Linked DNA regions of Stegostoma tigrinum. The protein of the gene in region 1 interacts with the protein of each later gene in a pairwise test. Links are inferred from orthologs where the notes say so. Each region holds a gene or a part of one and is shown in the gene's direction. Other genes may lie near its edges. The genes, in order: git1, c23h8orf33, lamtor5 and pfdn1.

The links.
Region 2: the proteins of git1 (region 1) and c23h8orf33 interact in a two-hybrid assay, tested with the Homo sapiens proteins (2 studies listed by BioGRID and IntAct). The link is inferred for Stegostoma tigrinum from reciprocal best matches to the Homo sapiens genes GIT1 and C8orf33.
Region 3: the proteins of git1 (region 1) and lamtor5 interact in a two-hybrid assay, tested with the Homo sapiens proteins (2 studies listed by BioGRID and IntAct). The link is inferred for Stegostoma tigrinum from reciprocal best matches to the Homo sapiens genes GIT1 and LAMTOR5.
Region 4: the proteins of git1 (region 1) and pfdn1 interact in binary tests that used the Homo sapiens proteins (3 or more experiments, as listed by UniProt). The link is inferred for Stegostoma tigrinum from reciprocal best matches to the Homo sapiens genes GIT1 and PFDN1.

Annotation. Positions count from the first base shown.
Region 1 is NC_081380.1:31,329,353-31,336,628, forward strand, and holds the start of git1 (ARF GTPase-activating protein GIT1), read left to right. Parts: upstream 1-4,257; 5' UTR 4,258-4,428; coding exon 4,429-4,480; intron 4,481-7,276. Other genes in the region: ankrd13b (ankyrin repeat domain-containing protein 13B), read right to left, coding at 3,256-3,354. UniProt on the Homo sapiens protein: GTPase-activating protein for ADP ribosylation factor family members, including ARF1.
Region 2 is NC_081376.1:31,555,842-31,563,216, forward strand, and holds the start of c23h8orf33 (UPF0488 protein C8orf33 homolog), read left to right. Parts: upstream 1-4,372; 5' UTR 4,373-4,497; intron 4,498-5,583; 5' UTR 5,584-5,662; coding exon 5,663-5,671; intron 5,672-6,686; coding exon 6,687-6,777; intron 6,778-7,375.
Region 3 is NC_081374.1:828,276-836,037, reverse strand, and holds the start of lamtor5 (ragulator complex protein LAMTOR5), read left to right. Parts: upstream 1-4,746; 5' UTR 4,747-4,809; coding exon 4,810-4,844; intron 4,845-7,762. UniProt on the Homo sapiens protein: As part of the Ragulator complex it is involved in amino acid sensing and activation of mTORC1, a signaling complex promoting cell growth in response to growth factors, energy levels, and amino acids.
Region 4 is NC_081366.1:38,410,682-38,417,955, forward strand, and holds the start of pfdn1 (prefoldin subunit 1), read left to right. Parts: upstream 1-4,257; 5' UTR 4,258-4,764; coding exon 4,765-4,797; intron 4,798-7,274. UniProt on the Homo sapiens protein: Binds specifically to cytosolic chaperonin (c-CPN) and transfers target proteins to it. Binds to nascent polypeptide chain and promotes folding in an environment in which there are many competing pathways for nonnative proteins.

The DNA of each region.
Region 1 (7,276 bases):
AACTGCGAACGCTTGGATTATTAAACGGTACACAATTTCATTGACGTCAGACCCAAAACTTCAGACGCAAAAGCACAAAAAACTATTTACTCTGAATAAAATTTCTGCAGAAATTCCCTTGAGTGACTTCAAATTTATGCAATTAGTAGTCTCAAAACAGGCTTTATATATCTTCAAACAGCTCAGTAGTTAGGAATCTGAAGATATCATTATATCCCGAAGATATTCGCACATTTACCGTAATTTTAAACAGCAAAGGCCCAATTCCCTGTAGATATTTGTGAGTAAGGGGTACATGGGTATAGAAAACAAAGTTTGTGAACCAAGTCCATCGTCTCCTCCCGTTCAGGCAGTATCTGCAATCCCACAGAAGTATCAGCTCCATGTTCCTGCTGCTAATCGATTATCTTGTCTGCGTGATACATTTGTTACAATTATCGGCCAAATGGGGGCTATATGGACAGGGGCTGGCTGGATTATTGATAGACACCCCGATCTAACTTGGGCTTCAATGGTAAGGAACTGGCCGCTGTTTGCCCCTCTTTTTCTGTTTTTTTTACAGCAGAAACCGCGATTTGGAACATATTTTGCAATGCTACACAAGCTCACACGCGTCGTACAAGAACGCTGATGCAAACTGATTGAGGTAGACCCCCGTTTTCAGGGAGATAGACGAAACCATCACGGTGTTGTGGCTGTTTCAGATCGGACCCGGTCATCGCCAGCCGTGAGAAATTCAGAATCCCGCCACAAACCACCCCCGCCCCCAACCTCATCTCGAACTCTGCATTCTCACTCCATTTACCGGAGGCTTTGTACACCCAATTCCTAACATAATCGTTCCCAACTCTGTCCTAGTAATTGCTTGCAGTATTTCAGACTTTGTGCATTCTCGGAATACACTGAGCGTCCTCTAGTTCCTGCATATAGCTAAAGCCCCATTCAGTGACACCGTGTGCCAGCGGCTTTTCTCCCAGTTCTATAAAGGATGCGTGAAACGTGTTTTGCTCCGTTTGCTGCATTTCCGGTCCAGAGTCATGTTGACCTCCTGTATTTTCACCTGTCAGTTGCGGATTGTGGCGGGAGGCCAGGCCAGCAAGAGGGTCGGTGTGTGCTACTTCCACTTTACCGTCACAGTTGCCCTTACAAGTTGCAACAGAACGGGTCGGAAGAATGCGGAGATGCATTTGCTGCACATCACAAGCAGCGGAGCCCTTCCAAAGGCTTCGGCTACTTTTAGGGTGGGGTGATTTGGTCTTTTCCAAAAAGGGTAAAAACAGTTTTGTTTTATTGATTCCCAAATGGTAGCCAGTTACTACCGTGCCCACAGCTCCAATATGATCACAAGGGAATGTCAGTTGCATTCAGCACCTTAGCATGAGAACAGTTTCCTGGTCACGAAGGCTGTATTTTGTGCTGTAACCGTTTACTCAGACTCCGCCTCGGTGTAAATCGGAACTCGCTCAAGAGAGATGGAATAGTTCTGCGCCTGATTTCAACAATTCAAGTTCAAGTAAAAACCAACTTCTAAACGGGAAGGAAGACCAGTATTGTGTCTTGTGACTCCCAATCTTACCGTTTCTGGCACAAACGTAAAATACTGGAAATGCGAAGTGAGCACGGGAAAAAAACTGGAAAATCTCAGCGGGTAAGGCAGCCTTTGGAGACAAACAGTGACCCTTTCAGGTCGATGACCTTTCACCAAAATTCTGGAGAGGGCCGTGTTAATTCCGCTGCACGGAGGCTGCCTGACCTGTTTAGTTTCTGATTACTGATCACCCATCACCCAAAAATTGGAACTTACAGCACAAACCGAACAATGTGCTTATTCACATAGGTTTTGTGAACTCACTGCATCCAGTCTTTTTTTTAAATGTATAAAATCTGAGCTGAGTCTGCATATGGGGACGGACAATTCTGGTTAAAGAGGTTCGGTTTATATTACTGACTTTATCTCGCTAACATCTGTCGAATATTCTTTATTGCTTTTTCTAACAATTATTTGACATGGCGGTTGAATAAAATAATGTGATACTGACATTTTAATGAATACACTAATTTCCCTGTTGCTTTTCATTTCTACACCACGTAACAAATTTCCACTGTCTCAAAAATCAATCAGATTGGTTTGACATAGAGACCATGCTTGGAAAAGCGATGTTTCAGTGTGCCGGGCGCGGAATGGTTGGCGCCTGTGTGATTAACTGTGCATTCAGCTCTTTAAAGCGTGCAGCCACAGAGATGACAGTCCCATCCTTTTTTCTGGCCTCTTGTATCAAGTGTCGGTCGGAGCCATTGTACACCGGAGAAACTATGCTAAAACGACATCCAGACTCGAAAGGTTTCTTACAATTCATCAAACATCGTTTGATTCTAGCCGGAAAGCTACATCAGACAGCACGACAGAACCTTGAACGATATTTATCAATTTGATAGGAAACAGGTGCAACCCTACGAAAATATTTTTTGTATCTGCACAGTTTGGAACTAAATTGAAATTCCAGATCTTCTCAAAAGAAGTTTATGTGAGATAATTAAACCAGGGTCTTTTAGTTTGCGGTTTATTTTGAACCCAATCTGTGAGCTTGTAGTTGCCTTACTTCCACAGAACATTTATTTTGACAGACCAACATGCTTTTCTTTTCATACATACACACACACACACAATATGGCAACTTCCTTTTGGAGACCGACTGATATTGGAACCCATTTCAGGATTTCGTTTTGGGTGTTAAAATGGGCATCAGGATTTACGGGAATATTTTAAAGCACTTGGCATAATCTTCTTTCCACTACAGAACACATATGGTTCCCGTATTACTATGGATGCCTCATTTCCATATAAGATAGTAAGCGGAGAATAGTAACCACACATTTCGTCTTTAAGTGACCGAAGAAAATAAAGACTAAAAGTCAATATATAATGAAAACTTCGCGATCATGATTTTTAATCCTTATTGGAAGAAGCATATTTAAACAATACATAACCCAACGAAGGAATCAGCTAATTGTACGGCACTAGCACAATTCCATCCAACCTAATGCACGAAAACGGATATGGTCACAATTCGGATCCAAGAATATTTTTAATGTAGAAAAAAATAGATTATCTCCAATTCTTCCGACTGACAGCATTTAATTTCCGATTTATAATTAAACAGCGACTTGTCTATGTTCCTGCATCTGATAGCATTTAGTCAATTCCACTTGCATTGCACCACCCCATAAATACACATACACACACACATCACCCACCTGCTTGGTGCTAAGTTCCTTTTCCAGATCCTTGTATCTATTATGCCAAACCAAATAATGCAACGGATATTTTTCTGCCACCCTTCTCGCAGAAATCATTCTGATATCATTCTTCTCTTCCAGATAACATGCAAACTACCTTTGCAGCAGATAGTCAAACCCCTGGCAACAGGCACCAATCCCTATATTGCTCGGCAGCTGAATATCGGACGATAGGAAGCGCTGTAATTCTTGCTTTAACTGTGTGGGAAAAGAGGAAGTAGGAGAAAATCGAAGGGTGAGGAATTACCAAGTTACTGTGGGGGAAATATGCAGGTTGAAAATACGTATGGAGCGTAGATTTCAAATAATATAAAGAAAATCTACAACGTGGCCAATTAGCATGTACTACTGATTTTTTTCCGTTCATCATGAGTACCAATTAGTGAGAAAATGCAGTAGTTGCGCATTTAAATTTATTACCAACCCCATTATCTATAATATTGGAGATGCGCTGTTTTAAAACCTCCTGGGAGCTGTAGTTCGTCCGTTGAGGTGATAAATATTAGTGGGAATTTGCAATTTAAAATGAGCTACATGTTTTTGACCAATTCCGGGGAAATAATTTTAATATGTATGAATATGGGTAGGCAACTGAAAGTGCTCCGTTCTGGGCAATGACATCACCCTCGCACCAGCTAACCGGCGAGAACTACAAATCCCAGCACACCTTGAGGCGGGTTACCGCCTCCACGTCCCGCCTCCTGTTGGTGCTCGTTCCTTCGCCCAGTGTCTACCAAACTTAGCGGCTGATGAGGGCTGATTGGCCTGCGGTGACGTAATTGGGAAGCAGCGGCTTGTCTATTGGGCAAGCCTGCTGCCAGTCAGGTGACGGCGCTGGGAATCCCACCAGCAGCAGGTTGGGCTGCGCTGCGCGGGCCGGGTCTTGTCGTCATTTCCTGGTTGCTCTGGGAATGGGGGCGGGCGGGGGAAAGCTGCGGTTTTCCAGTAACTTGTCTCGAACCGGATGCGTCTGCGCTAAACACACTGGCCCTGAGAGATTTGGAGACCTGGCGGTGTCGGAGGAGGGGCTGGAGAGGTAGCGGGGTTTGGGGTAAGGGGAGGAGGTGAGCGCTGGGAATAAATTAGCAGAGACCGGGAGAATCATCATCATCATCATCGAGGAGAGCAGAAATGTCCCGAAAGCTGCGGCCCAACGAAGTGTGCGCCGACTGCAGCGCGTCAGGTACGTGACTCGGTGAATGGGGATGAGAAAGAGAGTGGTGGTCAATTCGGGAGCCCGGGGAATCAGCCCGAACCCCTTCCCCACCCCCCCACCAACCCCCTCCCCATTTGCTTCTACAGGACGACGGGGTCCGTGGGGCAATACGGTTTGGGGGTGTTAGGGAGGAGGTGGTGGTTGCTCTGATTTGGGGCCTGTCAGGTCAGTCGGTCGGTCAGCGGTCGGCAGTCAGCACCCAATCCCTGGCACCGGTTGCCAGGCGGTGGGTTTTCGGTCAGCCATTTGTGCCGGGGATTGGAAACTGAACTGAGAATCCTGTGTCGTTACATGTGGAGAGGATGGTCCATTTCGGCTTGGGCTGCGTGTGTGTGTGTGTGTGTGTGTGCGCGCGCGCGCGTGTGTGCTTGCCTCTTCCTTCCCAAGTGTTTAGTGGCCACTTGTGAAAGTCTTGTTTGGAAACGTCAAGTTCCCGGTTGCAGTATTGGCTATTGTCCCAAGGCTGACCAGTGATAAACCGGACACAGTAACCGGTTTGATGAACTCGCGATGCCATCCCTAAGAAACCAGTGATTCTTTGTGATCGAATTGCTGTATGCAACGACTTTGATTCTACTCTACTGAGAGTCTTAATTGATGTGTAAAACTTTTCATTGGTATCTGATTTATTGATTCAAAACGATCTGACCCGAAAACTTAGCCATCTGTTTCACTTTTCATTTGAGGTGGATTTCTAATTATTCGCATATAGATCAAAAATAGGATTCGGTCCATTTTGAAGTGTTCTATTTTGCGATATTCACTGAGTTACATAACAGCGGAGGCACAATTGCAAGTTGATTGTCTGCCAGCTGAGCTGTGATTTAAGTTTGTAGGAGATATCAGATCTAATTTGGCACACATCAAATCTGTTGGAGTGAGCTGTATACTTTTAAAAGGGAGTTTGCAGTAATTGTGATTATGCCAATTGAATATTATGTTTATCTTTAGCTATAATTCAAAATTTGAAGTTTACACAATATAATAGATTATAAATCATGTTGGCTTTCTCATGACACATGTTTGAATTCTGAAGTTTTATGGTAATTTTGACAGTTGAATGTTATTTCTGTTTTCTTTTAACCCTGTAAAAATGAAATCAACTCACTTATTTCTTGAGGTTATTTGTGTTTGGTATCATCTCTGTGCATATTTGGTATTCAAAAATAAACTACACACTTGAATGGTCTTGCTGTCAACCATCATGTTAATCTAGCGCTAAGAAGAGGGTCCAGTGTTGCGCATGTTCCTATCCAAGGTGCTGCCCCAGTAGTTGACTGCAGTGGATAGGGGAAATTATGCAGTTGGGACTACTTAGTACAGTTGTAAAATAGTGAATTTGTGAAAAGCCGAAAGGAGAGCTTATGATGTAGGTTTATAAGATCTCTTTTTTTAAAAAACTTGTTATTGATGGCGTGACATCTACTGCTTTGAGCTTTGTATGCTGGTCTTATGCATCTTTTAACTATTTTTACAGTTTTTAAAGTCAGAGTAATTATGAACAATAATGTGCGATGTTCTGTTAATGCATTTTTAAAATTAAAGCTTATGTCAAGTTTTCTATTAATTCCAAGCACTCACTGCACATCCTGAGACTGTCTTTTGTGTTTTTAAGTTGAGATGTGTGATTTGAAAACATTTGCTATGGAAAATATTGTTACATATTGTCCTGTTTTATATGTAAATTATTTGTATTTGAGTGACTTTTTGATGGAAGATGGGAGCACTTACAACTAAATGTTGGGGATGTGGAGGAAGAAAGTTTTTTGATTATTCATGTTATAGACAATTGGAGTGGATGGGAGAATCGTTAGTAATATTCCATTTTGGAGTTCTGTCACGCATCAAACAGAGGAAATTAACATAAATTTATCAAAATATTTTTAAACATCTCGAAATCAAAACCATTGTCTCCAAGAAGGGCGAGAAATTCAGATATCCTCCAGGCCAAGTGTGTGTGTTAAGCAAGAGATGTAGTTGCACACCTACACAAATATTTGGAGTTGAAAAGGACATAGCTGTAAGCAGTGTGGATTACATCAAACACTGGGGAGGAAAGTGTAACCAGAGCATTTAGCCCATCAAGTCCACACTGACCCTCTGAAGAGATTATACTAGCTGTGGGCTATTAAAGTTTATTTCCAAATATCATTAAAATGTCTTGTTTCCTAACAACTAGTTTATACATCTTACACTTTTTAATCATAGAATCCATACAGTGCCAAAAAAGGCCATTCAGCCCATTGAATCTACACTGACCCTCCAAAAAGCATCCCACCAACCTATTTCCATAACTCCACATTTACCAGGGCAAATCCACCTAGCCCAAACATCCCTCGACACTGCAGACAATTTATAATATCATATAATACAATACAATAACCTCTGAGCCATTGCACTATCTGGAATAACATAGATTTGAACACATGATCCAGTGAAGCATTTCCAGTTGGGCAATTGCAAGCCGTTGTCTCATTACTTGTAGTCATATTATGAAAAATAAACCTGGCTTTCAGGAAAAAGAAATGAAGCCCAAGTCCTTATTGTTGGAGAATTTCATCTGTTGATTCACTGGTCGCTTAAACCTTTGATCAAAAGTGTAATGAATTATAGGCCTCCATTCTGTGAAGTATACTTAAAATCTTAATTTTATAATGTGGGTTACTTGCCCAATTAAGTCTGTACTGATTACTCTTGCTATTTAAACGACTTGGTCTAATTTCCACATCTACTTCCTCATGCATCTTTTATTATTTTCCTTTT
Region 2 (7,375 bases), on another chromosome or scaffold:
TGATGACCCTTAGAAGGGCCATGGTCCTCTTTGCACCATTTTTAATGACCAGTAAAACAATGAAACTAACTTAAAGCCAATTTAAGCCAGATGGACCCTTAAAAGTTGCATTGTTAAAAAAATTTTCATTAGACCTTTGTGTAAGTTGCATTAAAATTTGGTTTTGTGGTGTGATAATGCACTGTGGTGCCCACTGGTCAAATGTCATCTATGTAACTCTTTATAACTACTCTAGGCATCTAGTCACGCGCAGGTGATATCCCTGCAACTTCACCTCCAGGAGGACACAGTATGCCCTAACACACTGGTCACACATTAAGGACATATTGGAACTGACAACAAGACTACTAAAGACCACTAGAAATCGTGGTGGTTCACAAACCCAAAGCCACTCTTTTCGTCAAACACTCATGGATTTAAAAACCCCATTCCCACAACATGCAGAACCAACATAGTTTACAGAATACCATGCAACGACTGCCACAGACATTACATTGGACATGAAGGATACTAGCCATCAGAATACATGAGCATCAACTAGCAACATAATAGCACGAACTCTCCTTAATATTGTCACAGTCAGACAACGAAGACCATAAGTTTAACTGGGACAAGGTAACCACAGTAGTCCAAGCCAAACATAGACATGCATGGGAATTCCTAGAGGGAACGTTCTCCACCCGTAATGCAATCAACAAACACAATTGGACTCCATACACAAACCCATACAGAACAAAAACAAAAATGACACTACTCACCATAACGGACCAAACATTATAAATACCAAACAGAGCAGAATAACACCACATCAGAGGCTCCACTGATAATGTCACCTAGCATGGTAAAAATCGTCTGAACAAGAACAAGCCACCTCAGCGATCAAGTCAACAACCTCACACAACCTGAGCTACAGATCTTGCCAAAAAAAAACCTTGAACACACAGACCTTAATGACTATATGCTGAATGTTGCTGTGCTATGTTCGTTAATTTTCATTAATTTATTTTACAGCTTTTCTCATGTTGAGAACATTTGCTGGCAAAGGAGCCATTTATTACCCATCTTTAATTGCCTTGACTGTGTGGTGGAAAGTTCAAATTTGAACACATTGAAAAATACTATTGCAGTTCTTTGCTTCCTTTTACATATATGCAAGCCAGCAAAGTCATGTTCTGTTTTTCGTGTGAACTTCATTCTGTATTACATACAGACTGCATTGAATGCTGAAATAATTTTAGTGATTTTATACAAATACATTGGTTCACAGGCTTGGCAGGAACATAAGAAAAACAAAATGAAAATTAATACACCCATTTTAATTTTCGTGCTTCCATCTATTTGATTTGGACCAGAAGGATTTCTGTTCACTGCTGCTAGTTGTGGCTACTCTTGGCAGGCGATCTGCTGGCATGGCATGCCACACCTGTCAGTCCCACACATCCACTGTAGATGTGGATTTGCTACATGTCATTAAAAGTTGTAAGTTACATATTTCTTTGTCTGAAATGCTTTAGTATTTGGCCATTCATCGCTGTGAGTGCAGTAAAAAAAATTGTGAAAATGATTCCAGCACACTATATCAAGGATGTTGGTGAGGCTTCTTCTGGAAGACTGCGTCCAGTTCTGGTTGCCCTGTATTAGGAAGGATATTATTAAGCTGGAGAGGGTTCAAAAGAGATTTACCGAGTTTTGCCAGGAGTGGAGGGTTTGAATTATGGGGAGAGGCTGGATAGACTGGGATAATAAGGTGTAGAGCTGGATGAACACAGCAGGCCAAGCAGCATCAGAGGAGCAGGAAAGCTGATGTTTCGGGCCTAGACCCTTCTTCAGAAAATTTTGCCAAAGAACCAAAGAATCTGTATGACTCTTGATTATATTCTATGAATTCAGTTATGTAGATAGATTGGAGAAATTGGACTGTTTTCCTTAGAGAAGGTGGATTTGATTGAAGGTATTCAAAATTGAGAGGGGTCTGGACAGAGAAATGGGGGAAAGATTCCTATTACTGGGTAGCTCATGAACGAGAGGGTACAGATGTAAGGCAATTGGTAAAACAAGTAAAGGTAACATGCTGTATGAGGAGGAAATGGAGACAAATTTAGATGGAAGTTTGTTTATTATCTGTAAAGGAAGAGTATGCATGGCTGAGGAACAGGTAGGCTGGTGACTGTAGATGAGCTGCTCCTCCAGAGGTAGCACAGGCACAATAGGTCAAACAGCTTTCATTGTTGTTACAGAATCTTAAGGAGGATTCAAGAACAGAATTCAACAAGATGGACTATGAAGTTCTTGAGCAAGTTAACAAAAGAAACAAGGGGGTATTGAAGAGTTTGGTGGGTTTAGAAGTGGATATATACTGGGGTTTGGAGTTGTATCCCAGGCTACTGTGGGAGAGGAGGGAAGAAATTGCAGGGGCTCTGATGTTTCAATCATCTCCAGCCACAGGGAGAGGTGCCAGAGAACTGGAGGACAGCTAATGTGGTTCCACTTTACAAAACAGGTTGTAGAGATAGACCTAGAAACTATAGACCAGTGAGTATAACAAACTTCCTTCTAAAGTTGATGAAGGGTCTAGGCCCAAAGCATCAGCTTTTGTGCTCCTAAGATTTTGCTTGGCTAGCTGTGTTCATCCAGCTCCACACTTCGTTATCTAAGGAGGAATTAACCTCCTTTTAGAAAGGAAAGGTCTGATTAGGGATAATCTACATAACTTTCCAAGAGGGAGGACATATCTAACAAAACAGGAGGAATATTTTCAAGAAGGTGACAAAATATTTGGATAAGATAGAGCAGTTGATGTAGTTTACATGGATTTTGGCAAGGTCCCTCATAGCAGACTGATAAAGGTAAAAGTTCATGGGATTCAGGGTAATTTGGCAAGTTAGATCAAAAATTGACTTAGAGACAGCAATAAGAAAGTGGTGGTAGAAGGCTGTTTGTGTGACTGAAGCCCAGTATGCAGTGGTGTACCACAGATCAGTGCTGAGTCCCTTGTTTATAATATTCACAAATGGTGCAGAGGGAGAAAAATAATAACTTTGTAGCTAACAAAATGTTGGCTGTGGTTGGCAGTGAAGAGGAACTTGTCAAGTTACAAGAAGATAAAACTGGATTGGTCAGATGGGCAGATCAGTGCTGATGGATTTAACTGTAATTGAGAGGTGATGCACTTTGGAAGGAGGAACAAGACAAGGGAGTACTCTACCGGCAAGATACGAAGAAACTCGTAGGAAAAGAGAGATCTTGGGTCCTTGCTCACAGATCTCTGAAGACGGCATGGACAGGGTGGATAGAAAGCAGACGTTCTCCTTAGCTTAATGGTCAATAACAATGAAGCATAGCACAGGAAAGTGACACCAGTGTAGGTGGTATTTTATCTTTGGCAGTACAGACTCAACGGGTTGAATGACCTGTACTGCATGATTCTAAGGCAGTAACTCACCCTAGAGAAGGGTAACACTTCAACGTCCTAAGTGAGAGGTCAGGATTATTAAACTGATAACTAAATTACATTGGAAGGTTTGTATGTCAAAATATGAAATCAATTGGTGGGAGTGATGTCTGAAAATCAACAACTGGTTACCTTACTCCGTGCATTTTTATCCTTTAATTCCTACTTGATTGTATCAGCAACAGAAGAATGTGAAGGACTGGGGATCTAATGCACTGGACGGAGAAATCCTGCTTAAATGTCCAGTCTGCTCAAAAGTTCATATTGTACGTAACCAATTTGTGAATTGACTTTGCCAGTTTCACATTTGTGGCAGAGTATGTTTGATCAGTGCTAAATCACCTTTATGCATAACCTGGAATTTAGAAAGTGAATTCCCTTAAAAATATTCGCACAAAATGTGATTTGCTGGTAAGTGACTGCATGAGCAGTATTTTCTGAAACAAACAAACAGTCACAGAACACAAAATAGGAGGTTAAAAACAATTTTTAAAAAAAGAGACAACATGAGAGGCTTATTAGGGAAGAAACATAGAAATAACCGGGAGAAAACCGAAAATAAGAGGCAAGGCTGTTCTGAAAATGCGAAAGTGCAGAGCTTTGTAACATAGATCCACTGACCAGAACCGGAAAATAGAAACAGTTTGCCTATTATGTAAAGGTTGCATTTCATTCCCCGGCTTTGAATTTTTTCTGAATTCGAGAGCATTGAAGTGAGAAGAAAGAAAAAACATTCCAAATATTGGATAACAGACAGTAGACGAGAATATTCTGGAACTAGTTAATAGGCCAGACTGGAATGTACAGAGCTCTTAACCAATTCCAATGCATCCTGCTTTGCTTCGATTGTCACATGAATTTGTTCCCTCCATAATGGCGGCTTCCGGAGGTGTCCCACTGATGTAACTGGAAAGTGGTCTATCACTGAACCGGGGGAACAAATTGAACGACGGACACAGAACACCCGATTTCCGGTGGTGGCTGAGTGCCGAGAAAAGGAGAGTCTGAGAAACCTATTTCTACGGTTTCTTGTGAAACTTTGAAGGGTACGCACTCTCGACTAGAACCTTTTGAGATGACAGCCTCAGCTATTGTCAGACTTTTGTGGGTGAAATGATTCACAGTCGAAAGCTCCTGGTTCTAGAGCTTCACGTGGTTGGAAATGTAGATCCTGTCTTTTCCAAACCAGCCCCTACCTTTGGCATAGACTCTCAATCAAAACATTACGCAGGAGGATGTCCATCTGTCTGTGATGATCAGTGATCTGAGATTATCAATAAGTACAGGAACACCAGGAACCTCACGGGCTGTACACTGTATTCGAACGGGGTAACTCCAACCGGAGAAAACTATCAAAGCGACACGGAGATAACAAAGTGTGAAGCTGGATGAACACAGCAGGCCCAGCAGCATCTCAGGAGCACAAAAGCTGACGTTTCGGGCCTAGACCCTTCATCAGAGAGGGGGATGGGGAGAGGGTTCTGGAATAAATAGGGAGAGAGGGGGAGGCGGACTGAAGATGAAGAGAAAAGAAGATAGGTGGAGAGGAGAGTAGAGGTGGGGAGGGGATAGGTCAAAGAGGTGGGATGAGGTTAGTAGTTAGGAGATGGAGGTGCGGCTTGGGGTGGGAGGAAGGGATGGGTGAGAGGAAGAACAGGTTAGGGAGGCAGAGACAGGCTGGGCTGGTTTTGGGATGCAGTGGGGGGAGGGGATGAGTTGGGTTGGTTGTGTGATGCAGTGGGGGGAGGGAACCAGATGAAGGGTCTTGGCCCAAAACGTCAGCTTTTGTGCTCCTGAGATGCTGCTTGGCCTGCTGTGTTCATCCAGCTTCACACTTTGTTATCTTGGATTCTCCAGCATCTGCAGTTCCCATTATCTCAAAGCGACACGGATACCCTTTTAGCAAGCTTTCAACCTCGATCAACATCTTAGTAACAGGCACCAGTAGGAGCAGAGAGCTGGCAAGATTGTAGGGATTTTTTTAAGTCAACTTGTTCAAGATACAATAACATTCCTCTGGAGCTTGTACAACCTGAACCTGGGCCTCCCAAATCTGAGATAGAGACAATATCACTGTGCCTCACAGCTCCTTGCTAGTGTGATTTTATAGTGAGTCTTGTCTTTTCCTTCAGGTGCACAGATTGCTGCTTTGGGGAGGTGCCCAGGCTGCCAATGATCTGTTAAGCTGTTGGAGGTGTTTTGGATACTTTAATGGAGGAGGTGAGTGATTACATTATCGGAATTAAGACTATTCTAAGCTCTCTTTTCTCCTGACCCAGTTGCATGTTAATTGATTACTGCCCTACTCGATAGGGTGGCGGGCAATGTATTCACCAAAATGGTTAGGGTATGAACTGGGCCAGTCCTTTCATACAATTTCTTGAATATTTGTATATACAGGGGATGCAGCTTGTTGTGTCTTTGCCTGATTATCTTGACAATATGATTTATGAAAGGGAAATCATGTTTAACAATTTTTTTGAAGCTCTTTGAGAAAGTAACACGCTATGGATACAAGAGAACCAATGGATATGCTGTACTTTAATTACAAGAAGGCATTGATAAGGTGCCACATCAAAAGTTACTGCAGAAAGTAAAAGCTTGTGGTATAAGAGATAACATGTTAAGATTATAGTTAGAAGATTGTCTAGCTCATAGGAATCAGTAGGCATTCATGTCATTTTCTAGTTTAGCCATTGTAACAAGTGGTGTGCCATGGAGATCAGTGCTGAGTCTCATCTTTTCAGTTTGTATAAATGATTTGGATGAAGAGAAAGAAGGAATCATTGTTAACTTTGTTATCATTGCTAAGATAGTTAAAGTGAAGAGGATATGGCTGCAAATATTTATAGATAGGTTGAGAGTGGGGAAATAGCTAGCAAATGTAATATAATCTGACATAATATGAAATTATCCATTCTGGCAGGAAGTATAAAACTTTATCTAAATAGTAAGAGATTACAGAGCTCTGAGAGTGATTTTTGCTTCACAATGTATTTCTAAGAATATATTAGGAGTGCTAATGCAATGAATAGTGACACTTTAATATCACAGCACAGATTGTAATTATTATTACTTCTTGCGTGTGTTGAATATCTATTATGACTTCTGTTTAAATACTTGGATGGGAAGTGGATATTGTTACTCATTCTTAATTTTCTAGACCTGTTTTCTCAATGCTGCTTTACTATTGTCGCTCACAGATTGGTTCGCTAAAGCTTTCTGTCTGTTACAGAGCCTCAACAAGAACATCCAGGTGGAGCTGGATTGTGGGATCCAGCAACAACAGACTGGGGTCTCCCAGCTCAAACTGTCATCACAACAAGGTAAGCAGTCAATCCCTAGTGGACAGCCCAGTGTTAGTAGGTAGTGAGGGGATCTGGTTGGTGATGTCATGCTAACTGGTTTATAATTTCCTATTTTGGCTGTCAGTTCTTGAATAAAGAACTTCTTTTCAGTTCTGATGGACCCCAACCTGAGCGCATGCACTGTGAACCTCATCTCTCTGTTTCAGAGTTTTGAGGGAAGCTTTTTGTTCTTGGTAAAACCAAAACTTCCAGCTAACAAAAACATTTTCAAAAAAGAAAATATAAGAGTGTCCCTATCCTGAGATGTGGTTGATGGCTAAGATTATAAGAAACAGGCTCAGGATTAGGCCTTTAGGCCATTTGACACTGTTCCACCATTCAGTAAGTTCGTGGCTGATCTGATGTTGGTCTTAATCCTATTTTCCTGCCTGCTCTCATAACCCTCAGTTTCATTATAGATGAAAAATCTGTCTAAAGTGGCCTTGATTATAGTTGGTGACTTAGTCTCCACTGCAGGCTATGGATGAGAATTCCAAAGATTAATGACCGACTTCAGAATAATGAAAGGAATTGACAACGTTCATGCAGATAGGAGGAATGTTCTCACTGCTGCCTG
Region 3 (7,762 bases), on another chromosome or scaffold:
GATAGGGGTTGATTACAATATGTAATGTTGTAATCTTGGAAAGCCCTTTAAACATGCTTCTCATTGGTTAGGAGAGTCAAATGGAGTAAAATAAACAACAATTTAAAACAGCCACAGACATACCAGAAATCCAACCAACAAAGTATCATTATTCTAAAATGAAACTGGGACAACATGAAAGAGTAGAGGGAGATTTACACTGTACCTAACCTCATGCTGTCTCTGTCCTAAGTAAGTTTGATGGGGACAATATAGTGAGAGGTTTACTTTCTATTTTTAAGAGTAGAAAGAGTTTTACTCTGTATCTACACCCATGCTGACCTTGTTTTGGGAATGTTTGATAGAGAGGGTTTGCTTTCTGTTTAAGAGAGTAAAAGGTTTTACACTGTACCTGACACCAAGCTATACTTGTCTTGGGAGCGTTTGATGGGGACGTTGTAGAGCAAGCTTTTGTCTGTATCTAGCCCCATGCTGTAGAAAGGTCATCATAGAATCAGCAGTGTCATTCCCACAATTCTTCACATTATTTATTAATTTCTTTGATAATGGCATATAAAGTCATAAATAGAAAGCTGATGACACAGTTAAATGGCATTTTAGACAGTGTAGATTTTGGCAATAGCATCACAATGGGGTATCAACTGGGAGAAAGGGCAAAGCTGGCTAACAAAGTTCAATGTAAATAAGTGTGAAGTTACCTACTTTAGACCGAAAAATGATAGATCTGGGTGCTTTCTAGATGGTATGGAGTTAAATATAGTAGATGTTCAAAGACGCTTGGGGCTTCTGATGCATACATCTATAAAATACCACAAACAAGTACAGAAAATATTCAAATATCTAATGAATGTTGGCTTTTATATCTAGATGGATGGAGTACAAGGATATAGAAGCTATGCTGCAGTTACATCGAACCCTGGTTAGACTGCACTTGGGAGTACTGAGTGTGGGTCTGGGCACCAGGCTTTGGGAAGGATACATTGGCCATGAAGGGAGTACAACATAGGTTTACAAAAATGATACCTGAACTTCAGGTTTAAGTAATGAGGAGAGATCAGACAAATTATACCTGCACCTGAAGGTGATGATGATGATGATGATGACGCTCAGCCTCTGCATTAACAATAGAGCAACCTCAAAAACTCCTCCCCCATAAAATCATCTTGACGATTTTTCAAGATTAGGCATTAAATTTATCTTTATTTCATTATTAGATGTGAATTAAACATTTATTTAAACTGCGCTTTCTTTTGTATTATGCTTTTGAGTGATACTTTTTGACGGTCTACCCCTAACACCGCTTTTCCCATTGGGCCCATTATTCCTACAGTGTGATTTTCTGTAATGCAATGTTGCGCAGGAATGCAACTATTGTGTTACAATAGATCTGACTGTAGTCACTGGCTGCCATTTTGGCAACTATCCTTTCAACCTGATTCTCTGCTTTATACCAGTCAGCCAATCCTCTATCCATGCCATACTTTGCCCTTAACACCAAGGGTTCTTGTGCTATTTAGGAACTTCCTGTGTGGCACCTAGTTAAAAGCCTTAAGACTATAACATATAGGATAAGAATTAGACTATTTCAGCATCAGACCTGCTTCACCATTCATGTCTGATATGTTTCTCAACTCAAGTCTCCTGCCTTTTCCCTGCAACCTTTGATCTCCTTATCAATCAAGAACTATCAATTTCTGTCTTAAATACACACAATGACGTAGCCTCCACAACCCTCTGCAGCAATGAGTTCCACAGATTCACCACCCTCTGGCTGAAGGAATTCCACTTCATCTTAGTTCTAAAGGGTCTTTCCTTCACTCTGAGACTGTCGGTCCTAGCCTCTCCCACTAGCGGGAACATCCTCTCTATTAAAAGGTTCTCAGTATTCTGTAAGCTTCTGGAAATTTAAATAGATCACATCCACTGGCTCTCCTTTGTCTAACGTGCCTATTGCCTCCTCAAAGAATTCTAAGATTTGTGAAGTCATAGAGTTATACATCACAGAAGCAGATCCTTCCATCCAACTAGAACATAGAACATAGAACAATACAGCGCAGAACAGGCCCTTCAGCCCTCGATGTTGCGCTGGCCTGTGAACCAATCTAAGCCCTTCCCCCAACACTACCCCATCATTATCCATATGCTTATCCAAGTACCGTTTAAATACCCCTAATGTGGCTGAGTTAACTACATTGGCAGGCAGGGTGTTCCATGCCCTTACCACTCTCTGAGTAAAGAACTTGCCTCTGACATCTGTCTTAAATCTATCACCCCTCAATTTGTAGCTATGCCCCCTCGTCCAAGCTGAAGTCATCATCGTCGGAAAAAGACTCTCACTCATCCAGGTCAACCAGACATCCCAATCTGAACTGGTTCCATTTGCCAGCATTTGGTCTATATCCCTCTAAACCCTTCCTATTCATATACCTAAACAGATGGCTTTTAAATATTAGAGATAATGGGAACTGCAGATGCTGGAGAATCCAAGATAATAAAATGTGAGGCTGGATGAACACAGCAGGCCAAGCAGCATCTCAGGAGCACAAAAGCTGACGTTTCGGGCCTAGACCCTTCATCAGAGAGGGGGATGGGGAGAGGGAACTGGAATAAATAGGGAGAGAGGGGGAGGCGGACCGAAGATGGAGAGTAAAGAAGATAGGTGGAGAGAGTATAGGTGGGGAGGTAGGGAGGGGATAGGTCAGTCCAGGGAAGACGGACAGGTCAAGGAGGTGGGATGAGGTTAGTAGGTAGCTGGGGGTGCGGCTTGGGGTGGGAGGAAGGGATGGGTGAGAGGAAGAACCGGTTAGGGAGGCAGAGACAGGTTGGACTGGTTTTGGGATGCAGTGGGTGGGGGGGGAAGAGCTGGGCTGGTTGTCTGGTGCAGTGGGGGGAGGGGACGAACTGGGCTGGTTTAGGGATGCAGTAGGGGAAGGGGAGATTTTGAAACTGGTGAAGTCCACATTGATACCATTAGGCTGCAGGGTTCCCAGGCGGAATATGAGTTGCTGTTCCTGCAACCTTCGGGTGGCATCATTGTGGCAGTGCAGGAGGCCCATGATGGACATGCCATCTAGAGAATGGGAGGGGGAGTGGAAATGGTTTGCGACTGGGAGGTGCAGTTGTTTCTTGCGAACTGAGCGGAGGTGTTCTGCAAAGCGGTCTCCAAAGCCTCCGCTTGGTTTCCCCAATGTAGAGGAAGCCGCACCGGGTACAGTGGATGCAGTATACCACATTGGCAGATGTGCAGGTGAACCTCTGCTTAATGTGGAATGTCATCTTGAGGCCTGGGATAGGGGTGAGGGAGGAAGTGTGGGGGCAAGTGTAGCATTTCTTGCGGTTGCAGGGGAAGGTGCCGGATGTGGTGGGGTTGGAGGGCAGTGTGGAGCGAACAAGAGACCACCCGTGACTCCCTTGACCTGTCCGTCTTCCCTGGACTGACCTATCCCCTCCCTACCTCCCCACCTACACTCTCTCCACCTATCTTCTTTACTCTCCATCTTCGGTCCGCCTCCCCCTCTCTCCCTATTTATTCCAGTTCCCTCTCCCCATCCCCCTCTCTGATGAAGGGTCTAGGCCCGAAACGTCAGCTTTTGTGCTCCTGAGATGCTGCTTGGCCTGCTGTGTTCATCCAGCCTCACATTTTATTATCTTGACTTTTAAATATTGTAATTCTACACACCTCCACCACTTTATCTGGCATCTCATTCCATACACACACCACTGTTTGTGTGAAAAACACATTCTTCAGGTACTTTTAAATCTTTCCCCTCTCACTTAAACCAATGTTCTCTAGTTTAGGAATCCACTTTCCCTAGGAAAAAGACCTTGACTATTCACTCTTATCCATATTCTTCATGCTTTTATAAACTTGTGTAAGGTGTCAGTCCCCAGCACTCCAGGGAAAAACCTCCAGCCCATTCAGCCTCTCCCTGTAGCTCAAACCCTCCAACAGTACCAACACCGTTTGAAATCTTTTCTGCACGCTGTCAAGTTTAACAATATCCTTCTTAAATTAGGGTGGCCAGAATTGTACGCAGTATTCCAAAAATAGTCTCAGCAATGTACTGTACAGCTATATACTCCCAAATTTCCACCGTCCCCAATCCCTTCTGGTGAGCGTTGGCCACTACATTCTACCCTGACTCTCCGGAACTCCTTCTGTCCCTGCAATCAGCAGGTCGTGCACACCGCCCAGTCCAATGACCGGGCGATCAGGGGGCGGGGCTAGTGTAGGGGTGGGGTTAGTGTAGAGGGCGTGGTCAGTATTGGGGCGGGGTTAGTGTAGGGGGCGTGGTTTAGGCAAAGTGCGGCGTTCGTACAGGGGGGAGGGTGTGTTAAGGGGGCAGGGTCAGTCAAAGGGGTATGACTGCAGGGGCGGAGTTAACGTGGGGGGCGGGGTTAGTGTAGGGGGCAGGGATAATACGAGCGGTTCTACTGCAGATGAGGAGTCAAGGAAGGGGGCGGTGTTATTGCAGGGGGCGGGGCTAGTCCGAAGGGCATCACAGAGGGGCAGGGTAATTGTGGGGGTGGCGTAGAGAAGGGGGCAGGGAAAATAGGAGGGGTTCTACTGCAGGGGCGGGGTTAAGGTAGGGGGCGGTGTTAGTGCAGGGGGCGGGGCTAGTCCTTGGGGTCCGAGGGGAGGGAAAAGGATGCCAGGATGGAGGGGAAGGAGGGGGAATGAAGGTGGGGAGGCGGGGTTTTATTGCAGTGGCGGGTCAACACTGGGTGAACAGGCGGGTAAACGCGGGTGTACCGCCCACTGGTGACGCTATTTCCGGGTAACCCTTGGGTAGTTCCCGGATGTGAAGAATGGAGTCGGCTTTAGATTCCCAACTTCGAGAGACGTGAGAGAGAAATAACATTAAACACATAAATAGTCAATATAGGGAGATAATCTTCAAAGTAAATTCAGGGGAAATCGAGAGTGAGAGAGAAATAATTATAGAGTCAGAAATAACATTAAATATAGAAGGGGAGGGGGAGGGGAGAGAAATTGTGGTGAGGGGGGCAGGGGGGATGAGAGCGGGGGAGAGGGGGAGAGGAGGGGGAGAGGGGGAGAGGAGGGGGAGAGGAGGGGGAGGGGGGGAGAGGAGGGGGAGGGGGGATGAGAGAGGGGGAGAGGAGGGGGAGGGGGGATGAGAGCGGGGGAGAGGGGGAGAGGAGGGGGCACGGGGCAGGGGGGATGAGAGCGGGAGAGGAGGGGGCAGGGGGGATGCGAGGGGGAGAGGAGGGGGCAGGGGGGATGAGAGCGGGAGAGGAGGGGGCAGGGGGGATGCGAGGGGGAGAGGAGGGGGCAGGGGGGATGAGAGCGGGAGAGGAGGGGGGAGGGGGAGAGGAGGGGGGATGCGAGGGGGAGAGGAGGGGGGATGCGAGGGGGAGAGGAGGGGGGAGGGGGGATGCGAGGGGGAGAGGAGGGGGGAGGGGGGATGCGAGGGGGAGAGGAGGGGGGAGGGGGGATGCGAGGGGGAGAGGAGGGGGGATGCGAGGGGGAGAGGAGGGGGGAGGGGGGATGCGAGGGGGAGAGGAGGGGGCAGGGGGGATGAGAGCGGGAGAGGAGGGGGCAGGGGGGATGACAGCGGGAGAGGACGGGGCAGGGGGGAAGAGAGCGGGAGAGGAGGGGGCAGGGGGGATGAGAGTGGGCGAGGAGGGGGCAGGGGGGATGAGAGCGGGAGCGAGGGGGAGAGGAGGGGGCAGGGGGGATGCGAGGGGGAGAGGAGGGGGCAGGGGGGATGCGAGGGGAGAGGAGGGGGCAGGGGGGATGCGAGGGGGAGAGGAGGGGGCAGGAGGGATGAGAGGGGGAGAGGAGGGGGCAGGAGGGATGAGAGGTGGAGAGGAGGGGGCAGGGGGGATGAGAGCGGGGGCGAGGGGGAGAGGAGGGGGCAGGGGGGATGAGAGCGGGAGCGAGGGGGAGAGGAGGGGGCAGGGGGGATGAGAGCGGGAGCGAGGGGGAGAGGAGGGGGCAGGGGGGATGAGAGCGGGAGCGAGGGGGAGAGGAGGGGGCAGGGGGGATGAGAGCGGGAGCGAGGGGGAGAGGAGGGGGCAGGGGGGATGAGGGCGGGAGCGAGGGGGAGAGGAGGGGGCAGGGGGGATGAGGGCGGGAGCGAGGGGGAGAGGAGGGGGCAGGTGGGGTGAGGGCGGGAGCGAGGGGGAGAGGAGGGGGCAGGGGGGATGAGAGCGGGAGCGAGGGGGAGAGGAGGGGGCAGGGGAATGAGGGCGGGAGCGAGGCGGAGACGAGGGGGCAGGGGGGATGAGGGCGGGAGCGAGGGGGAGAGGAGGGGGCAGGGGGGATGAGGGCGGGAGCGAGGGGGAGAGGAGGGGGCAGGGGGGATGAGGGCGGGAGCGAGGGGGAGAGGAGGGGGCAGGGGGGGTGAGGGCGGGAGCGTGGGGGAGAGGAGGGGGCAGGGGGGGTGAGGGCGGGAGCGAGGGGGAGAGGAGGGGGCAGGGGGGGTGAGGGCGGGAGCGAGGGGGAGAGGAGGGGGCAGGGGGGGTGAGGGCGGGAGCGAGGGGGAGAGGAGGGGGCAGTGGGGGTGAGGGCGGGAGCGAGGGGGAGAGGAGGGGGCAGGGGGGGTGAGGGCGGGAGCGAGGGGGAGAGGAGGGGGCAGGGGGGGTGAGGGCGGGAGCGTGGGGGAGAGGAGGGGGCAGGGGGGGTGAGGGCGGGAGCGAGGGGGAGAGGAGGGGGCAGGGGGGGTGAGGGCGGGAGCGAGGGGGAGAGGAGGGGGCAGGGGGGGTGAGGGCGGGAGCGAGGGGGAGAGGAGGGGGCAGGGGGGGTGAGAGCGGGGGAGAGGAGGGGGGCAGGGGGGATGAGAGGTGGAGAGGAGGGGGCAGGGGGGATGAGAGCGGGGGCGAGGGGGAGAGGAGGGGGCAGGGGGGATGAGAGCGGGAGCGAGGGGGAGAGGAGGGGGCAGGGGGGATGAGAGCGGGAGCGAGGGGGAGAGGAGGGGGCAGGGGGGATGAGAGCGGGAGCGAGGGGGAGAGGAGGGGGCAGGGGGGATGAGAGCGGGAGCGAGGGGGAGAGGAGGGGGCAGGGGGGATGAGAGCGGGAGCGAGGGGGAGAGGAGGGGGCAGGGGGGATGAGGGCGGGAGCGAGGGGGAGAGGAGGGGGCAGGGGGGATGAGGGCGGGAGCGAGGGGGAGAGGAGGGGGCAGGTGGGGTGAGGGCGGGAGCGAGGGGGAGAGGAGGGGGCAGGGGGGATGAGAGCGGGAGCGAGGGGGAGAGGAGGGGGCAGGGGAATGAGGGCGGGAGCGAGGCGGAGACGAGGGGGCAGGGGGGATGAGGGCGGGAGCGAGGGGGAGAGGAGGGGGCAGGGGGGATGAGGGCGGGAGCGAGGGGGAGAGGAGGGGGCAGGGGGGATGAGGGCGGGAGCGAGGGGGAGAGGAGGGGGCAGGGGGGGTGAGGGCGGGAGCGTGGGGGAGAGGAGGGGGCAGGGGGGGTGAGGGCGGGAGCGAGGGGGAGAGGAGGGGGCAGGGGGGGTGAGGGCGGGAGCGAGGGGGAGAGGAGGGGGCAGGGGGGGTGAGGGCGGGAGCGAGGGGGAGAGGAGGGGGCAGTGGGGGTGAGGGCGGGAGCGAGGGGGAGAGGAGGGGGCAGGGGGGGGTGAGGGCGGGAGCGAGGGGGAGAGGAGGGGGCAGGGGGGGTGAGGGCGGGAGCGTGGGGGAGAGGAGGGGGCAGGGGGGGTGAGGGCGGGAGCGAGGGGGAGAGGAGGGGGCAGGGGGGGTGAGGGCGGGGAGCGAGGGGGAGAGGAGGGGGCAGGGGGGGTGAGAGCGGG
Region 4 (7,274 bases), on another chromosome or scaffold:
TGATAATGGCCATGTCTTTGAAAGGTATATTCGAAGCTATCTTTGAGAATTTCTGCAATGTGTCTGGTGGTGGATGTGGTGCTAATCAAGCAGGCAGTTTTGCTGGATGGTGTCATGCTCCTTGAGTTATTGGAGCTGCACTCATCCAATTAAGTGGGCAGTCACACCATCACAATCCTGACTTGTGCCTTGTTGACCATGGATGCCAATTAGAGTCAGGAGTTGAGTTACTCTCTGCAGGGTTACTAGCCTCTGAACCTGTAGTTACCCACATTATTTATATGGCCAGTTCAGATCATTATCTGATAAATGGGGCCCCAGTTTGTTGACAGTAGGGTTCAGTGATGGTGGTGCCATTGAATGTCAATGGTCAACTTCTCTCCTGTTGGGGGTGGTCATTGCCTGGCAATTGTGTGGCATACATGTTTCTTGCCACATGTCAGTCCCATACCTGGATATTGTCTACATCTTGCTGCATTTGGGCATGGGCTGCATCAGTACCTGAGGAGTTGTGACCGGTGCTGAACATTATGGAATCATCAGTGAACACCCCCCACTACTGATCTTATGATGGAGGGAAGATCATTGATGCAGCAGCTGATGATAGTTGCACCTGGGACATTAACCTGAGGAACTTCTGCACAGAATTCCCGAAGTTTAGATGACTGATCGTCGACAACCCCAGCTATCTTCCTTTCTACCAGGGATGATTCCATTCAGTGGAGAATTTTCCTTCTGATTCCCATTGACACTAGTTTTGCTATGGCTCCTTGATTTCACACTTGATAAAATGCTACTTTCATATCAAAAGCAAATGGTCTCACTTCACCTCTGGTCAGGCCTTTTGTCCATGTTTGAGTCAAGGCTGTAATAAGGCCAGGAGCCACGTGGCCCCGGCATAACCCAAACTGTGTCAGTGAGCAGTTTATTGCTAAGCAGGTGCTGCCTAATAGCACTGTTGATGACACCTTCCGGCACTTTGCTGATGATTTAAAGTAAACTAATGGAGCGTTAATTGGTCAGGTTGGAATTGTCATTTTTGTGTACAGGACACACCTAGACCATTTTTCACAGTGTAAGGTAAATGCCAGTCTGGCAGCTCTACATGGAACAGCTCAGCTAGGAGCAGACCAAGCTCTTTACTATAAATATTCAGCACTACTGCCAGAATGTTGTCAGAGCCTGAAGCCTTCAAAAGTCATAAAAGAATGGGCACTTAAGTAAAATGTTGGAAGGCTGCAGGTATGCAGTGAACTGTATTACGGACTGAGTTAATGTCACTAAGAAAAGAAGGCAAAAGATAGAAGAAAGATGTTTTTGATACAAATTACTTATGAATATGAATGCCAGCAATTGGAATGTTCTGCCCGATGGCTGTTCTCTTTGTGCATAACTTAGGGCTTTTCATATTTTGGAATCTTCAAGACGGTCTGTGATAACCTCTTAATTTTGTCGTGTCAAATATGACATTTGTGCTACACCTACTCATTTCTTCGTGGCTTGCAGTGAGACAATATACTTTTCATGTGGTCTAGCTGGAACTTTGATTCTTAAATGCAATAGAGACCTCCTCCACAAGCAATTAGAAGGAAAATGTTTTGTGTACAGGCCACAGAGAATGCATTGTCTAAACATTTAAATTAAATGCATGTAGCGGTAGGTTTCAAAAGATTTTTAAAATGCAGTTTGACATTGTGCCGTAGTTGCACCATCTGCGGTGACAAATCAAATTAATCCGATCTTTAAATTTACAGTACAACTTCAGTAATACTTGAACAGTGAAAACTGCTTAGTAGAATGCTGATGTTGTACTGTGAATGCGACTTTAGATATTTTTTTGTCAACGCAGCCTGTGATGACTTCTAACTCCCAAAATAAAGGTCAGCTGTAATTAACTTTACTGCTGTAGATTGGATTTCTCTGAATACGTTCACCAAATTCATAGGAAATGTTTTGCTGGCACAAGAACATTCTGCTTGATTGAGGCCAACTGGGGTTTTTCCAGAATGATATATAGTAAGAAACTGCTTACTTTCTTCATGAACAAAGTGGTTGTTCATCCTGTCCTGAAATCCTGAACTAGAGCAGTAAAATTGAACAATGTCACAACAAGTTAGAAATTAGAGTAAATCTTTCCTTTGCTCCTACCAGCTTTGACATGAGCTATCACAGGAAGTGAACCCTGGTAACATGAACTCTGAATAACAATTAGTCTTGTATTATAAAGTTATAGTAATGAGGTTGGACTCACTTATGCCCAGTTAAAGGTTGCAAAATACTGACAACATTCATATCACACTACACTGAAAAACGAATTTTAAATGTGGTGATGACATTTGAAAATTTTTTGGTTATGAATGGAGAGTTCCAAACACTCATAACCATCTGAGAGCAAGGCAAGGAGACAGCTCATTACCGCCTTCTCAAGAATACTTAGGAATGGACAATAAGTGTTGTTTCAGCCAGCAAAGCTCACATTCCATGTATGAGTCAAGGAAAACATTATGCAGAGAGGGTGTAATGCAGTCGACGACTTTCTTGTTCAGCTGGTAAGTTTGTTTGCAGACGTTTTGTCATCATACTGGGTAACATCATCAGTGTGCCTCTGGTGCAACGTCGGTGTTCTCTCCCGCTTACTATTTATATGTCCCACTTTCTTGGTATGAGTGACATCACTTCCGGATTTGGTTCTTAGTGGTTGGTATATGGGGTCCAGCTCTACATCATTGTTAATGAGTCCTGGTTTGAGTGCCAGGCCTCCAGAAATTCTCATGCATGTCTTTGGTTGGCTTGTCCTAGCTTGGCTATGTTGTCCCAATCGAATTGGTATCCTTCTTTGTCCAGGTGTACTGAAATGAGTGATAGTTGGTTATGTCTCTTGGTAGTTAATAGGTGTTTGTGAATCCTGATGGTTAGTTTCCTTCTGGTTTGCTCCGTATAACGTTTTTGGCAGTCTTTGCATGGTATCTTGTAAATAACATTGGTTCTGTTAGTTGTGGTTGTGAGACCCTTTCTTTATTATCAGTAGCTGTCGCAGTGTAGCTGCCGGTTTGTGGGCTACCATGATTCCTAGGGGGTGGAGTAATCTGGTAGTCATCATGCAAAGGCTGCCAAAAACATTTCATACGGCAAACCAGATGGAACCTCCCCATCAGGATTCACAAACACTAACATTATCGCTACACCGCTATCTTTTCCTGCTGTAAAGTACTAGGGCAGCAGATATCTTATGCAAACTCAGGAAGTGATTGGGTGGAGGAGCAACGTTATGCTGCTCATGTATCTTGAAGACGTGGTAGGATTGCAGTAATGTCAATGGTCTAGTAAACCAGAGGCCCATGGCAACGCACTGGGGAAATAAAAGCTGAAAGAACTGTGGATGCCATAAATCAGGAACAAAACAGAAGTTGCTGGAAAAGCTCAGTAGGTCCAGCAGCATCTGTGAAGAAAACTCAGTGTTAATGTTTCGGGCCCAGTGGTTCTTCCTCAGTATGTAATGCACTGGGGACATTTGTTTGAATCGCCACTACAGAAACCGATGGAACTTAAGTACAATTAATAAATCTTGAATTGAAAACTAGTCTCAGGTAAGAATCATGAACAAAAACAAAGTTGCCGGAAAAGCTCAGCAGGTCCGGCAGCACCCGTGGAGGAGAAAACAGAGTTAATTTTTCGGGTCCAGTGACCCTTCCTCAAAACACAGGATCATGAAATAGTCCTTGATTGTTGCAAAAACTCACCTTGCTCATTAATGTTCTTTAGGTTGAGGGAAATCTGCCATCCTTACCTGTTTTGGCCTATGTGTGATTCCAGATCCCATTGGAATGTGATTACCCTTTTAACTGCCCTCTGAAAAGGGCAAGCAAGCCACTCAGTATAAAGTGCAATAACAAATGGACAATAAATGTTGACCGGGTCAGTGATACCACAACCCATCATGTTAAAAAAAAAACTGGCTTCCCAATGTTTAAATTGGTGAAATAATGCTGCTTCATCTGGATGATGTTATAACAGGAAGTGATTCTATATTGAAAAAAAGGTGGTGCTTTCACTAGGGAACAAGAGATACCAATTACTTCAACAAAGCGTCACTTCCCTTAGAAGGTTAACCTGACAGAAAACCAGGGTCAAATCGTATCTTCTCAACTACCTAATCAACATGAACCAGTTGTTTACAAAATGTAGAGAAACTTAAAGCAAACAACGTGTCCAAAGATTGTGGAGACCTCAGAACTGCGCCAGTTCCGGCACACAAGCCTGACTGTGCACATGAAGGGGCTATGAGAACGTGAATACACCATTCGGCTACTTCTGTGGACGGAGAACAGCGGTAGCGTTTCGAGTCCGATGTGACTTTTCTTCAGAACTCAGGAACTTCCTAAACACTGACTTCTGACTCGAAACGTTAGCTCTGTTCCTGCATCCACAGACGCTGCCGGAGCTCAGAGGAAGGGTCGCTCGACCTGAAACCTTAGCCCTGACTTCTCTCCACACGGATGCTGCCAGACCCGCTGAGCTTTTCCAGCAATCTCCGTTCCACGTCGCTGCTGTTTGTTTTTTAACTTCAGGTTTCCAGCATCCGCAGTATTTTCACTTTGATTTGATAAAATGAAATCGGAAACCCGCTTCAATCGAGCATTGTTGTGTGATATTAGACGGGACCCAAGAATAAAAACCACATGACAGTGCACATCGAACTCTCTCGCTGCTCCTCCTCCTCGCCGCCGGTAAGGAGCGGTCTGCGCATGCGCTCATCCTCTAAAGATGGCAGCCCCCGTGGATCTGGAGTTGAAGAAGGTACAGGAAGACACAGGGGTCTCATTGCTTCGCGTTTTTATCCTTTTTTGATGACCGATCGCTGGCTTTAACTTTCTCAGAATAAAAGGCACATGTTGTGGGAGGGTTTTAGCATTGATTTGTTTTCGGTGGTTATTAAAAGTGAGTGGTTGGTGCAGGCCTGGCTGCGCTGGAAGTCTTGCCCACCCTGTTGAGTTGAAAATTTGCCATGTGTATAATCCATAGACAGCAATAACACGATTTCTGACTTATTTTGGAGTGAGATATTTCTAGAGTGTTAAAGAGTACAAGATGTTATCACTTTTGTGTACTGTTGAAATGCATTTATTTTCCTTCATGTCAGATCTTACCTGTTGTCTTAACGATTATGGTTTACGCCTTAATATTTTAAAATTTTGGAAGCGCACCACAACAAGTAAGTCAGTACGATCGGTATCTGGACAAATACCGATCATTTTGGACGGGTTTGTTCACGGGTCGTCTGTTTTAAGTGTTCCTATAAATGTTCAGATTTTAATTTCCTAAAGTGTTTGTAATATTGTTTATTATCTGAATTAACAGAATTTTTATTTTCTTGTCAATTTCTATCACACTCAGCATGGTTAATTCGGCAAACTCACTTTTTAAAGTAGACAGTTCAAAGACCTTTGTGCTCAGAGGACGATGCAACAATAATCAGTTATTCAGCAGTTCTTTTTTAAAAAAAAAACTGAGGATGAGGGTGTCACCCAGAAGGCTGCATTCACTGTTCATCCCTAGTTGCTTGAGAAAATGGTGGCTTTCACCTTGAACTGCTGCAGTGAATGGTACATTCACTGTGGTGTTATATAGAGAATTCCAAGATATAACCAGTAACAGTGATATTTTATTTGCACTGGGATTATGAGTGATTTGGCAATAATGCTTCACTGCTTCTTTTGCTCATGTGGTGGAGGTTTATGGGTGCCAGACTGTTAGTATAACCATGTCGAGTTGCTATTATGCGTTTGTAGACTGAATTTACTGAAGCTAGTGCCTGTGATGGAACAAGTGGATGTGAACCACTGTGCCTGGGGGACCTATTTAGTGAACTGTAGCATTGTGAGTTACTTCCACTATCAGATGTGTGTTAGAATAAACAGTTTATGTAGTAAATGTAAAATTTGTGGGCACAGACTGGATTACATTGAGGTTGCAACGACAATAAAGTCTGTTGCTTGTGTCATCTGGATGCATTAATGCTATTGTATTGGCACAACCAATCGTTGATGGACTATCTTCTTTTCTTTCAGCTTTTTCCCATATTATGTTGGGTCACTGTACTTTAATGTCAGTCATCCTTTGGGATTTGGCAGTTGATTTTACAGCCAGATGCTGTTTCTGTCGCTCACTGTTCTCATTCATCTGGGGGTTGGGAAACTCAGCACGGTTCACCAGGCAAACTCTTACATTTAACCCCTGGCTTGAGCATGTTGGAAGGATTAAACCTCTCATGAATGGCATCCCACCTATGGTAGCTTGACTTTGTGGTTGTTGTGTCGATAAGACTATTTTATTGCAGGAACATTTTTTTTGAAAGACATTGTCCAGCTGTATTACTATTACTACTATAATTATTGATATGCTGTTTAATTTGAATGCAAGATTAAAATAATTAGACCCTTGCCTTTCTATCTTGGCATCCAGGACTTTAGCAGGATTACATTTGAAGTGTTTGGTTTGCACACTGCTGTTCACCAAACTGAAACTCTGTCACGAGTTAATTTACACATGGTTCCGTCATTGGTATTGACTGCTAAAAAAAACTTAGGCTTTTGTGTTCGTTTCTAGAAATTCATGAGAAAAGAAATGAACTGTGGAATCATATTTAATTTCTTATGAATTTCTTTTGAAAAGCTGGAAGTTCAGAGTTGTATGTGAAATTAAGAACTTCAAAAGTGCTTTATATAAGGCTATTACAGGTTTTTAAAGGAATGATAAAGTTGCATGCTTGAAAATTATAGTTAGTGAAACTTTAAGTGAAGGGATTGAGAAAGTAGACAGATTTAAAATCGGTCCTTTATATAGGTACAGGAATAGCTCTCTGAGACTGCTTGGTCATTTATTACGATCATAGTCGATAGAATGCTTTCATTCCTTTTAACCACACTATCTCTATAACCCATTTGCCATTGGTAATAAGAAATGTATCAAACTTTAAATGTACACCAATGAATGGTCTTCTGTAGTCATTTGAGGCAGAGAATTCCAAAGATTCACCACACTGTCAGGACTCATGATTTTTTTGTTACTCAATGGCTTCCTTTTTTTTTTGTTGTACTGCAGTTCTGGACTCCCCAAACAGGATGAACATCTTACCTGCATGCACCCTGTTATCTCCATGAGTGTTTTGTAGGCTTCTTTGAGATCATGTCTCTTCTTCAAAACTTTTGAGAATATGTGGCTAGATGAAGATTCTGTAATTACTCTTAATGTTAATAAGTAATGGTAATTTTGAC